3 linked regions of the Stegostoma tigrinum genome follow. The protein of the gene in region 3 purifies or fractionates together with the protein of the main gene of each other region. This does not show direct contact. Links are inferred from orthologs where the notes say so. Each region holds a gene or a part of one and is shown on either strand. Other genes may lie near its edges.

Evidence for each region. Proteins that work in one complex are often made in the same cells at the same time.
Region 1: the proteins of morf4l1 (region 3) and actl6a purify together in Homo sapiens (affinity purification with mass spectrometry; 6 studies listed by BioGRID and IntAct, with this or other methods). This does not show direct contact. The link is inferred for Stegostoma tigrinum from reciprocal best matches to the Homo sapiens genes MORF4L1 and ACTL6A.
Region 2: the proteins of morf4l1 (region 3) and epc2 purify together in Homo sapiens (affinity purification with mass spectrometry; 5 studies listed by BioGRID and IntAct, counting the BioPlex papers as one, with this or other methods). This does not show direct contact. The link is inferred for Stegostoma tigrinum from reciprocal best matches to the Homo sapiens genes MORF4L1 and EPC2.

What each region holds. Positions count from the first base shown.
Region 1 is NC_081367.1:36,939,435-36,943,186, reverse strand, and holds the start of actl6a (actin-like protein 6A), read right to left. Parts: upstream 2,787-3,752; 5' UTR 2,647-2,786; coding exon 2,622-2,646; intron 1-2,621.
Region 2 is NC_081360.1:83,954,840-83,958,591, reverse strand, and holds the start of epc2 (enhancer of polycomb homolog 2), read right to left. Parts: upstream 2,533-3,752; 5' UTR 2,418-2,532; coding exon 2,289-2,417; intron 2,148-2,288; coding exon 1,974-2,147; exon of another isoform or gene 1,908-1,973; intron 1-1,907. UniProt on the Homo sapiens protein: May play a role in transcription or DNA repair.
Region 3 is NC_081386.1:32,983,915-32,987,666, forward strand, and holds the start of morf4l1 (mortality factor 4-like protein 1), read right to left. Parts: upstream 2,742-3,752; 5' UTR 2,599-2,741; coding exon 2,559-2,598; intron 1-2,558. UniProt on the Homo sapiens protein: Component of the NuA4 histone acetyltransferase (HAT) complex which is involved in transcriptional activation of select genes principally by acetylation of nucleosomal histones H4 and H2A.

The DNA.
Region 1 (3,752 bases), on a different chromosome or scaffold from region 3:
TTAATTATATTCTTGCTGCAATCCATTGACCAGAACCGCACACTACATAAGAGATGGTAGGAACTGCAGATGCTGGAGAATCTGAGATAAAAAGGTATAGAATGGGATGAACACAGCAAGCCAAGCAGTATCAGAGGAGCAAGAAAGCTGACGTTTTGGGCCTAGACCCGGCATAGGACTGAAGCGTCAGCTTTCCTGCTCCTCTGATGCTGCTTGGTCCGCTGTGTTCATTCAGCTCTACACTTTGTTATCGCATATTACTTAAGTTGTGCCCTAACCAACTTTTGGTACAGTTCCATCATAACCTCCCTGGCTCTTATATTCTTAACTTTGGCTAATACAGACAAGGATTTCACATGGCTTATTTACCACTTGATCAACGTGTACTGCATCTTTCAGACATACATGAACATATACTCTAAAATCTTTCACTTCCCCTGCACCTCTCAACATTCGCCCAATGGCTATCTTTTGCTTTGCTTGACCTCCTAAAAATGTATCATCTCACACTTCTCTACGTTGAATACTATTTGCTACTTTTCTACCCAACTGGGCTAAAAGGCAATGGGGTCCACTGACATCTTTCTGCAGTCTAGGTATCCTCCTTGTGATCAACCACAATTGTTGTCTCGTCACAAATTTTTGATCATGTTTCCTACATTTACATTCAAATCATTTAAGTACACATACTCAAAAAATCAGGGGCATTATATTGAGCCTAGAAGAATGCCTATAACAGTCTTCCTGTTGACAGGTAATTGTGCAACTATTACCCTTCATTTCCTGCCTGTGAGCAAATTTTGCATCCAATTGGTTACATTCCACTAGATGCCACTGGCATTTATTTTGTTTACTCAGCCTGCGATTTCAGATGTTGCCAAAAGGCTTGCTTGTAGGCCACACATCAACTGCATTATCTACCTGAATCCACCTTATAGTTAAAACAGCCAAATTCAAACATGTTTATGATGCTTTTTGTTCCTCCTCTGACAGCAATGCTATGACACAGAATTGAAAAACAAGAAATGGCATCTGTGATTCTCTGAAGAATAAGCTGCAGCCCCAAAAGCAGTTTCCGGATACGGAGGTAGATGAAATAACAATTCTTGGAATGGTCTTTCATGCTCTCCACTTATTTAAAAAGCAGCATTAGAAACAAACTGAATGGAACTGATGGCAAGAAATATTGTGACTGAGAAATCAATTAAAATGCATTAATACAGTAAAAAATAACTTTTCAATCAAAAGAAATAAATTCATTGTCTATGATAATGGGGCAGCTCAATGGTTAGCACTGCTGCCTCAGTGCCAGGGACCCAGCTTCAATTCTAGCCTTAGACGACTATCTGTGTGAAGCCTGCAAATTCTCCCACCGTCTGCAAGGGTTTCCTCCCACAGTGCAAGCATGTGAACATTAGGTGGATTGGCCATGCTACATCATCCATAGTGTCCAGGAATGAGTAGGCTAACTGGATTAGCCATGGGAAATGCAGAATTACAGGGAGGGGGCATGGGGGTGGGTGCTCTTCAGACGTCAGGGTGAACTCAATGGGCCAAACAGCCGGCTTCCACACTGTAGGGATTCTACGATTGCACGAATGGAGGGCATTGAGTAGTAGCTTTAATCAAACAATTCCCACGACGTTGGGATTGCTCTCAAGAGGTTGAGCTTGTGTTCTCTGGAGTTGAGGGGAATAAAGGTGCAATTTCTTGAAACTTATAAAATTTATAACAAGAACAGAGTAGAGGTTTGCAATGGCTGTGGGAACTAGAACCGGGAGACACTGTCTCACAAAAGGCAAGCCATTTAAGACTGAGACAAGGAGAAATATCTTTGTTCAGAGGGTAGCAAATCTTTGGAAACCTCTCTCAAAGGCTGTGAAAGCCTTGTCATTGATTAAAGTCAAGAGAAAGACTGATAGATTTCTAGAGACAACATGGCATTGAGATAAGATGATCAGCACCATCTAGAATGTCACAGCACGCCCAAGGGTCTCAAAGACCCACTTCTATTTTCAGATGAGACAAAATCTCAATTAGATTTTTTAAGCTGGCACAACTACACTATGCACGACCTAGTTAGAATCAATGATTGTGTAACTTGTTATGTTTACATACCCTTTAAAATGTAATTTCCTAAGCGCAACTTAAATCCAAGATACGACACGCACAAGAACTCAATTTTAATTTGTCAAGACAGTCCCAACTTTAAACATTTGCCATTCCTTTCGCGTTCGTCATATCGTCCAACCTTAATCCTAAACCTTCATCTCAGAAATACAGAAAAGGCTAGCAATACTAGGGTCAGACTGAGTTTGCCGTCTGCAACCTAAAATCAAAAGTTTTGCATCTGGGCCTGTTTATATGAAGTAAGGAGAAGTTTTTAAGACAAAGCAATGTGAGTGAGAAATGAATGAAGCAGTGACTAAAGGGGAGCCAGTCCACGAGATGAACTAGCAAGAAGTGCAGACGCTGCAGTCAGAGATGAAACGCCTGGAAATCTCGGTCTTCGAGCCTAACTGCCTCCAACCTCACGCTGCCCTTCCCGCTCCCGCATGCGCCACTACCCCTCAAGCTGGGGCTACAGCACCGTACGCAGGGCCCCGCTGTTGCTCACTCACCTCCACCGTACACCCCGCCGCTCATGTCCGCTCCAAGCCGCTGAGAGACTGTCGCTGATGATTATGATTATGATCCACGAAGGCCTCTGCCCTCCCAACGCCGGCTCCAGACCGAAAACCCGCTCTGGGCCAACAAAGAGCAACTAATGGCCGATCCCAACCAATCCAGAGCCGAACAGGGTGGGGACACACGTCGCTGACTGTCATCGCAACCAATAGAAATAGATATCCCGCCCACATCCTACGTCAATCAAATATCAATAACCAATAGACTGGAGCGGCTTGGAAGGACAATAGAGTGGTTTTCAGATGGAACCAGCTAACAAATTTGTTTCGGGAGGGGAAAAATATACACGAAAGTTCGTGGTGTGAATGTTGAGGTCCGTCCTACCCAGAAGTCAAATAAAATTGAGTCTTACTTGCAAGAAGAAATGTTGTCTTACGGCATTCGTTGTAGGCCCAAGATAATACTGCAGAAGTGTTTGAGAAGAGTATCCTCAATTTAACCTTCATTTTGCGGGTGAAAATAGACCATTGAAATCGCGCCAGCATTCATTTAGATCGCAACTGACCTATAATTTATTTCTAGTAAAATAAAGAACTGAAATTGTTGAAGTTCTGAAACAATCACAGAAATTGCTGGAGAAACTCAACAAGTCTGGCAGCATATGTGAAGAGATTAACATTTCAAGCCCAGTGACCCTTCGTCAGATAGTTTAACTTTATCTGCCGACCACTCACTCCATAATCCTTGTAGTTAATTATCTACCAATTAATTAAAATAAGTATCAATTTCAACTTTGTAAGCTCCAAGTGTCTCAACATCCTTTGCCTTTTGGTGACAAATCCAAATATCTTGTGAAAAAATACTTCTTATCATCCCTTGAAATTTGGATCAAACATTTAGATGATACTTTCACTTTCCCAGCTGACGGAAGAATTGTTTCAATCTATCCCATCAAATTCAAAGTTTTAATCACCTCAAAGAGATCACGCCTCACATTTCTGCTCTGTGAAAACGGGTATATGGAATGTCTCCTAATAACTTAGCACTGTCTGCCAAGATATCATTCTCATGAATCTGTGCCAAATTACTTTCAAGGCCAATATTTCCTTCCTGAACAATACCCA
Region 2 (3,752 bases), on a different chromosome or scaffold from region 3:
TGGGGCAGCACGGTAGCTCAGTGGTGGGGCGGCACAGCGGCTCAGTGGTTAGCACTGCAGCCTCACAGCACCAGAGACCCAAGTCCGATTCCAGCCTCTGGTGACTGTCTGTGTGGAGTTTGCACGTTCTCCCCATGTCTGCGTGGGTTTCCTCCAGGTGCTCCGGTTTCCTCCCACAGTCCAAAGATGTGCGGGCTAGGTGGATTGGCCATGCTAAATTGTCCATAGTGTTCAGGCGTGTGTGGGTTATAGGGGAATGAGTCTGGGTGGGATGCTTCAAGGGGCGATGTGGACTTGTTGGGCCGAAGGGCCTGTTTCCACACTGTAGGGAATCTAATCTATTCACCCTATTCATGCCCCTCATGGTTTTACAAACCTTTATAACGTCACCCCTCAACCTCTGATGCTCTAAGGGGAAAATACCCCCTGCCTGTTCAGCCTGTCCCTATTCCTCAAACACACGAGTCCCAGCAACATCCTTGTAAATCCTTTCTGCACCCTTTCAAGTTCAACAACATCTTTTCTAAAGCAGGGAGACCAGAACTGATTGCAGTAAACCTAAACATTTGGTACTGACCTTGGCTCCAGCATTCAAGTGACACAAATTCAGAAAATATACAGGAGAAAGCATTTTCCTAATTTCATTGGCAGTGAGGCAGCATATTCTGCACCACATGGGCATCTATGCAGGTGGAACAGAGGAGTACTTAAAACAGTTCTCGACTTGACCAGACCCAAATCTTTTGGAAAAAGTTGTCAGTGGGCCAAGTTTAGTCTTTCTAGGTCTCAAATTAATAGATTGGCCTGATCGCATCTCCTGCTTTGATCTGATAATTCCTTGCAAAATAGGTAGGGTTTAAATTAGCACATAAATGAAACCAGATTAAACTGCAGGGTAATCAGGTTTAGGCCCGAAACATCAGCTTTTGTGTTCCTAGGATGTTGCTTGGCCTGCTGTGTTCTTCCAGCTCCATACTTTGTTATCTCGGATTTTCCAGCATCTGCTGTTCCCATCATCTCTCATGTGAACATCTGCCTTACCATTTGCACTAGAATACTAATCAGCCAATCTGTATTTTGTACGTTGCATTTATTGTCATGTTTCATCTGACTGCATTACACAAAGCAATTAGCGTAGGGAAGAATTTAACAGCAAAAATAATCCCATACGTTTCAAAATTTTTTTCCTTGGTTAGTGTAGTCAGCTTTAGTGCAGAAACATCGCCATTCATTGCCACATATTAATCTCTCAATCCGTGTTAGGACACTGAAAATGACTTCCACAAAAGTACCATTAAATTCTAGTTATTTGCATTAAATGTTAAGTATAATCGGGTATCACAAATAGCACAGGTTGCTGCCAAACCGGCCTCCAACAGGGGCGAAACATCTGAGTCGCCTCAAGATCTAGGGTCATTTAGTTTTTTGGTTAAATAAAATTTCAGCCTCCACTCTCCCAGAGAAGTAACTCTACGACGCGAACTGTCAACAAGCTGCCGACGCATGGGCTTCGGTGTTTACCCGCCGAGCGGCACGTCATCGCCGGCATCCAATCAGCGGCCGAATTCTACCCGGTAAATGAGATTGTCAGGGGCTCCAGCCAATCAGACGGGGCAAGGGGCAGGACTATTTAAAATAAACGGACAAAAACCATCAAAAGCAACAGTCTGCAGGAGGATGGTTATCGTGCCATAGGTTCGGCAAAAAAAAGTTCGATGTCTCAGTTCCGTGTCAAGTTAAACAAGAACTTTTTTCGCCCGAAAGTAATGTGTATGTCAACACGTTTGTTTTTGAAAAAAAACGATTCCGGGATTTCAAATCTCCGCGCCAAAACGTCCCCTGGCTGCAAAGGATAACAATGGCGGCGGGAGCCGTGGCTTGCGCAGTGAGTAAAACGCCAGCGGCCGCCGTTTCTCCCTCTCTCCCCGCCCCCCGGCCCCCCCACCAACCATCCTCCCTCCCCTCTCACTCACCGACTCCTCTTCTTTCTCCATCCCGGTCGGCATCTGCGGCACGGCCCTATTGATGGAGACGCAATCCTGGAGGTCCGGCAGATCCTTCGCCCGGTAAATGGGGAGCGGCTTGGTGGCGTCTAGCGCCCGCGCTCGGAACGACAGTTTACTCATGGTGTGCGCGGGAGAGGATTCCTGTTTTTTTTATATAAAAGAAAATTTTCCGACAAAGAAAAAAAATCCCTCCCCTCCCCGCACACCCCCTCCCCCCCCACCCCCCCCAGTTATCGCCGTGGGGTTACTACAGCAGACACCGCGCAGCGAAAAGGAGCGGACCTCACTGGCACAAAGATGGCGTTTTAGACCAGTCTTAATTGGGCGGCCGGACGCCCAGAGCCGCTCATGGATGCGAGTTAAGGAGTCCGTCCCCTGGGTGGATAGGGCGCTCCTTGAAATGCCCCTCATGCCGACCGAGCCGAGCCCGAGAAACCGAAATTTGGCCGTCGGTCCGCGACATGCGCCACGGCAAACATGGCGGACATTAAAGCAGCAATCCCAAGGAGCCGCGCGCGCCTCCCACAACGTGGGGGGAGGGGTTGCGCGCGCACCATCATAACCCTGTCCTGTGCCGGAGCTGGTCTGCTCAATTTATGTTGCATTTGGGGTCCGCTTTGCGGAGGAGCTCGTACACCTGGATTAGATCACCTTGTTTTCTATATGCCTTCCTCCAACGCCCACTTTTTTTTGTTCCAGTCCCCCTTTCCGATTCAGCTTGAGCGGTCGAGTGCCCCGTGACACTCGACAACCCAGGGGTGAGCAGCCTGGGCTTTCTGCCCTTTAAACCTAAGACCTGCATTCTGTCGGGCATCCCCTTGTCAAGTGTTCCCTTACGTGAGTCGTCTTGCCTGTGTGGGGTGGACAGCAGGCTTGATTGGCACTAGCATCCAACAAACTTTCATTCCCTACACCACCGAAGGCAAGTGGCGGTGACATGCACCGTCTGCCAGTTGCACTGTGGAAATTCACTGTAGCTTCTTGGACAGGGCCTTCTAAACAAGCAATCACTACCATCTAGATGGATAAGGACAGCTGATGCATGGGGACAGCACGTCTTGCAATTTTCCTTCCAAGCCACTCGCCAGTCGTAAATGTATCTATGTTCCTTCAGTGCCACTGGGACAAGTCCTGGAGCTCCCTCCCTAACAACATTGTCTGTGGACTGATGCCAAATAGATTGGGGCCTTTCAAGAAGGCAGCTCACCACCACCTTCAAGGACAAAAGAAATTTCAATAAATATTTACCCAGCTGGTGAAACCCAAGTTCCATGATTTGAAGAAGTAATAAGAGCTGGAGAATCTGAGATAACAAGGTGTAGACGTGGATGAACACAGCAGGGCAAGCAGCATCAGAGAAGCAGGAAGGCTGTCATTTCAGGTCTAGAAATGTTAGCGTAGCTGTTCGTCTGATGCTGCTTGCCCTGCTGTGTTCATCCAGCTCTACACCTTGTAATTCCATGCTTTGAAATTGTTACATAATCATGTGATGTCAGGCTATTGTCTTTCTAAGCTCTTCTCAATTTATCCATCCCCTTTGAAAAAATATGCATATGGCTCCATTTCATTAAATGCGTATGTTATCCATCACATTCCTTGTAACTGTCCTAAGATATTTTCAAATGTTGCTAGCCTTGCTCTTTTAAAATGCCTTTTAGGCAAGTGCTGAAATATCTTTTTTTTAAGGGTAATAAAGCGTGTTTCATTTGTAAACCATGGTGATGACAACAATCTGTGTCTAGTTTG
Region 3 (3,752 bases):
AATAAGCCTTTCACCCCAGGAATGAGTCAAGTGAACCTTTTCTGAACCACTTCTGAAGCAAGTATATGTTTTCTCAAAATCAGGCAGAGTACTCCACATATGGCTTCATCTGCTATACTAGCACACCCTTCTGCAATTCATCTACCATTCAAACCCCCAAATCCTTCTGCACCACTGAGACCGACAAGTTCTGTTCATTGAAGTAGTTTTTGTCTTTCTTGTCTTCTTGTCCATTACAACTCCCTTTGAGAATTAAAACTGAATCCAATCTTTACACTCTCTCAGGTAGTTCATTCCAATTCCTTAGCACACATGAAAGAGATATATTTATGTCATCTTAGATTCTTTTTGCTACTCACCTTATATTGGTGCCCTCTGATTTTTTTCTGCCAATGTGAACAGTTTCTCTCTCCTGAAATGGGGAGGTAATGGCCTAATGGTATTATCACTGGACAGTTAACTGCGAGACCCAGATAATGTTCTGGGTACATGCTCCAATCCCGCCATGACAGATGGTGGAATTTGAATTCAATTTTTTAAAAATCTGAAATTAAGAGTCTAATGGGGACCATGAATCCATTGTCGATTGTTGGAAAATTTTTACTAATGTCCTTTAGGGAAGGAAACTGCCATCCTTACCGGATCTGGTCTACATGTGACTCCAGACCCACAGCAATGTGGCTGAGTCTCAACCACCCTTTGGGCAATAAATGCTGCCTAGCCAGTGACACCCTCATCCCATGAATGAATAAAGAAAAAACAACTCGATTTTGAGCACCTCTATCAAATCTCCACCTAATTTTTTATTCTACAAGAATAGTCCTATCTTCCACACTATCAATACAGGTGAAATCTTTCATCCTTGGAACCATCCACATGAATTATTTCTACACCCTCATTAATGCCATCCCATCCTTTGCAGAGTTTGACACTGAGCCAAATAACAGACAAACTGAAACTAAATCAGTATTGCATAAAAAATAATCATAACTTGTTTTTATACACTACATATTCATTTTTACAATGTCCAGCATCCCAATTATGTTTAAAACCACTTTGTCAACATGCTCTGCCAACTTCTGGTCCCGCACTCATTTAGGAAAACATGGTAGCCAATGACAATAGTAACCACACTTCAAAAGCAAAGCAATGGCTGTTAAGCCAGTGAGGAATCTACATCAATATAACTGGCCCATTTCAACCTCTCATTTTCTTGTCCCATTTTTCTTCACGGCAACTCCTTCCCTCAATAAAAATTCCTATGCATGCAGTTCTAACAACTTCTCATAAACCAATCACAATGTTACCCTTCTGGAGTGGTAGTTCTATTATACTTCAGTTTTCCCTCTGCCTTTATGTACTTGACTCGCGTACAATCCAAACTACTACACATTTAGTTGTAAACAGCTAAAACCAAATAATGTTAAGATGTGATTAAAAAAGATGAACCTGATGCATCAGCCCTACCTACCTCTCTCCACAGATGCTGAATGATTCCAGCATATTCTGTTTTACCTAGACAGCAAATTCACCAGCACCTGAAAAAAAAGAAATACAGGCTGTTTCAGATGGAGACTCCGTGTCAGAACAGTTCTGACAAAGAGTCTACACCCAAAATATGAAGCTATCTTTGCAGCTGCTAATGAGCTTGCTACGTAATTCCAAAGTTTACCTTTTTTTCAATCTTATGTCTGTATTTGCCAATGCAGACACAAGTGGTGTAAAGTAGAAACACAATCCAGACTTGTATATTGCCTTACAACCACTTCCCATCTGGCAGTCATACAACACAAGAGTATAATTTTATGTCTTCTTGCTTATATTTTAATCAGGTCACGAGTAAGGTAGGACAGTTTCACTAAATACGTAGAAGTCCTCGAATTCCAGATTTCCTTCCAGGGAGAAACCATGGTCGAAGCAAAGATAGAAAGGTGCAAAGTCTCTTTTGCCACAAGAAGAAATAGACGGTTTCAGCAAATAAAGCAACGTTAAGCACGTTTAGCCAGACTAACTTACATACCTCCTCCTCACGGATGTGGAAAAGGGCACGGCCAATGAAGCAATTCCTTTGACAACCCCTTGGAAAGTGCATTGCAATAAATGGTTCGTTGCATTCTGCACATAGAGCAAGTCGTTGCAAAGTTGTCAGCACAAATGTAAACTTGCTCCATTGAAACCAAAGACAAAAATGGCACAAATCTGACTTTCGCTGAAAACGTTGGGGGGGTGCGGTGGTGTAGGTGGGAATAAGGAGAGGAAGAGGATTACGGGGAAACAACACACATACATGCAAATTGGCGGAGGAAACATTCTGCGCGATTATACTCTGCACAAATAAGTGTACAAAGGGTAAGGAACGAGTACAATGTGCTTACATCTAGCAGTCTAACCAGCTGCAAAATCTCCATTGAGGCGCCTGCAAAGCCCCTCGTACCAAGGGAGGCTGCCCTCCAAGCATGCGCACTGAGGAGTGGGTGGGGGAAGGGAAGGAGCCGGGCCCCGGCGCCATTTTTCCCCTCCGCCTCCTCCCAATCGCCGTATCCCCGCGGGGGGCTCACCTTCCTGAAATTTGGGTCTAGGGTCCGGTTTCGGAGCCATCAAGTCAAACCGTCTCTCCGTGCTAAATCCGAGCGCCTGTGCTGCCCCTCTGTCCCCGCACCATAATCGCGGCCCGGTCTGCTCTCGCACGGGCGCCGAGCAACACGACGTACCGGGTTGGAGGGGGGCGGGTCGTCATCGGGGCGACGTGACCCGTCGTCGAAACACGTCACGCCCCGGCCAAGGTGCTCTCATTGCGCACGCGCGGCTGTCCGGTGGGGCTCTGGGAGTTGTAGTTTGAAATTGGCATACAGGGAGCGTGCTAGAGGAAGTTTAAGACGTGAATTGGTGTTCTTGTTTGTATTTCCGACCTTCAGACCTCACAGCTCTTTGTTTTATTATACTGGGTTAACTCAGCAGGTTTGACAGCATCTGTGAAAAGAGAAAAAGAGTCAAAGTTTTGAGTCGAGGGAGTTGAGTTGAAGGGTGCTTCTGCATTTCTGACAGCAAGTTCACCAGGACAAAACAAAACAGAAAAACAGCAATCAAGTTTCTCCAGCAATTACTGCTCTGTATGTTTCTGTACTCTGTCACTGTTCTGGGTGAGAGTAGAAGTGTGGGACATTGGGTTCAACACAGCTTGCGGCCTTGTCAACTAAATTGTGGGGTGTGGAATTCCTCTGTTGAGGAAAAAGGAAGGCACTTCAGAGCCTGCACCCCCAGAAGTTGGAACAGAGTGACAGAGTTGCAGAATCTAAGAATGGAATAGACTCTTTAGAAGAAGCAGGGCATGAGGAGGTTAGTCAAGTAACTGTGGGTGTGATGGATATTGGTGGTCAATCTACCCCTGAAATAGAAATGAAAATGCCAAGGAAGAGGAGACTCAGATGGACCAAGTGAACAAGAGAAGCCTCTTCACTATACACCACACACATGGCTATGCAATACCAGAAGGTGTAACATTTACCTTTTCATCATCTCAGTCCCCCAGATCCCAAACTCATCATCCTGGAGATGCAAAGATTTAGCGATACATTTTTCAATCTCCTCTATTCACAATACAGTTTCCTTCACATCAGAAAAACTAAACGCAAACTGGGTGATTGTTTTGTGGTGTACCTTACACTATGTGTAGGAATGACCCTTGATCTGCAAGTTGCTTGCCATTTCAATTTACGTTCTTGCTCTCTTGTGCACATTTCTATCCTAGGCCT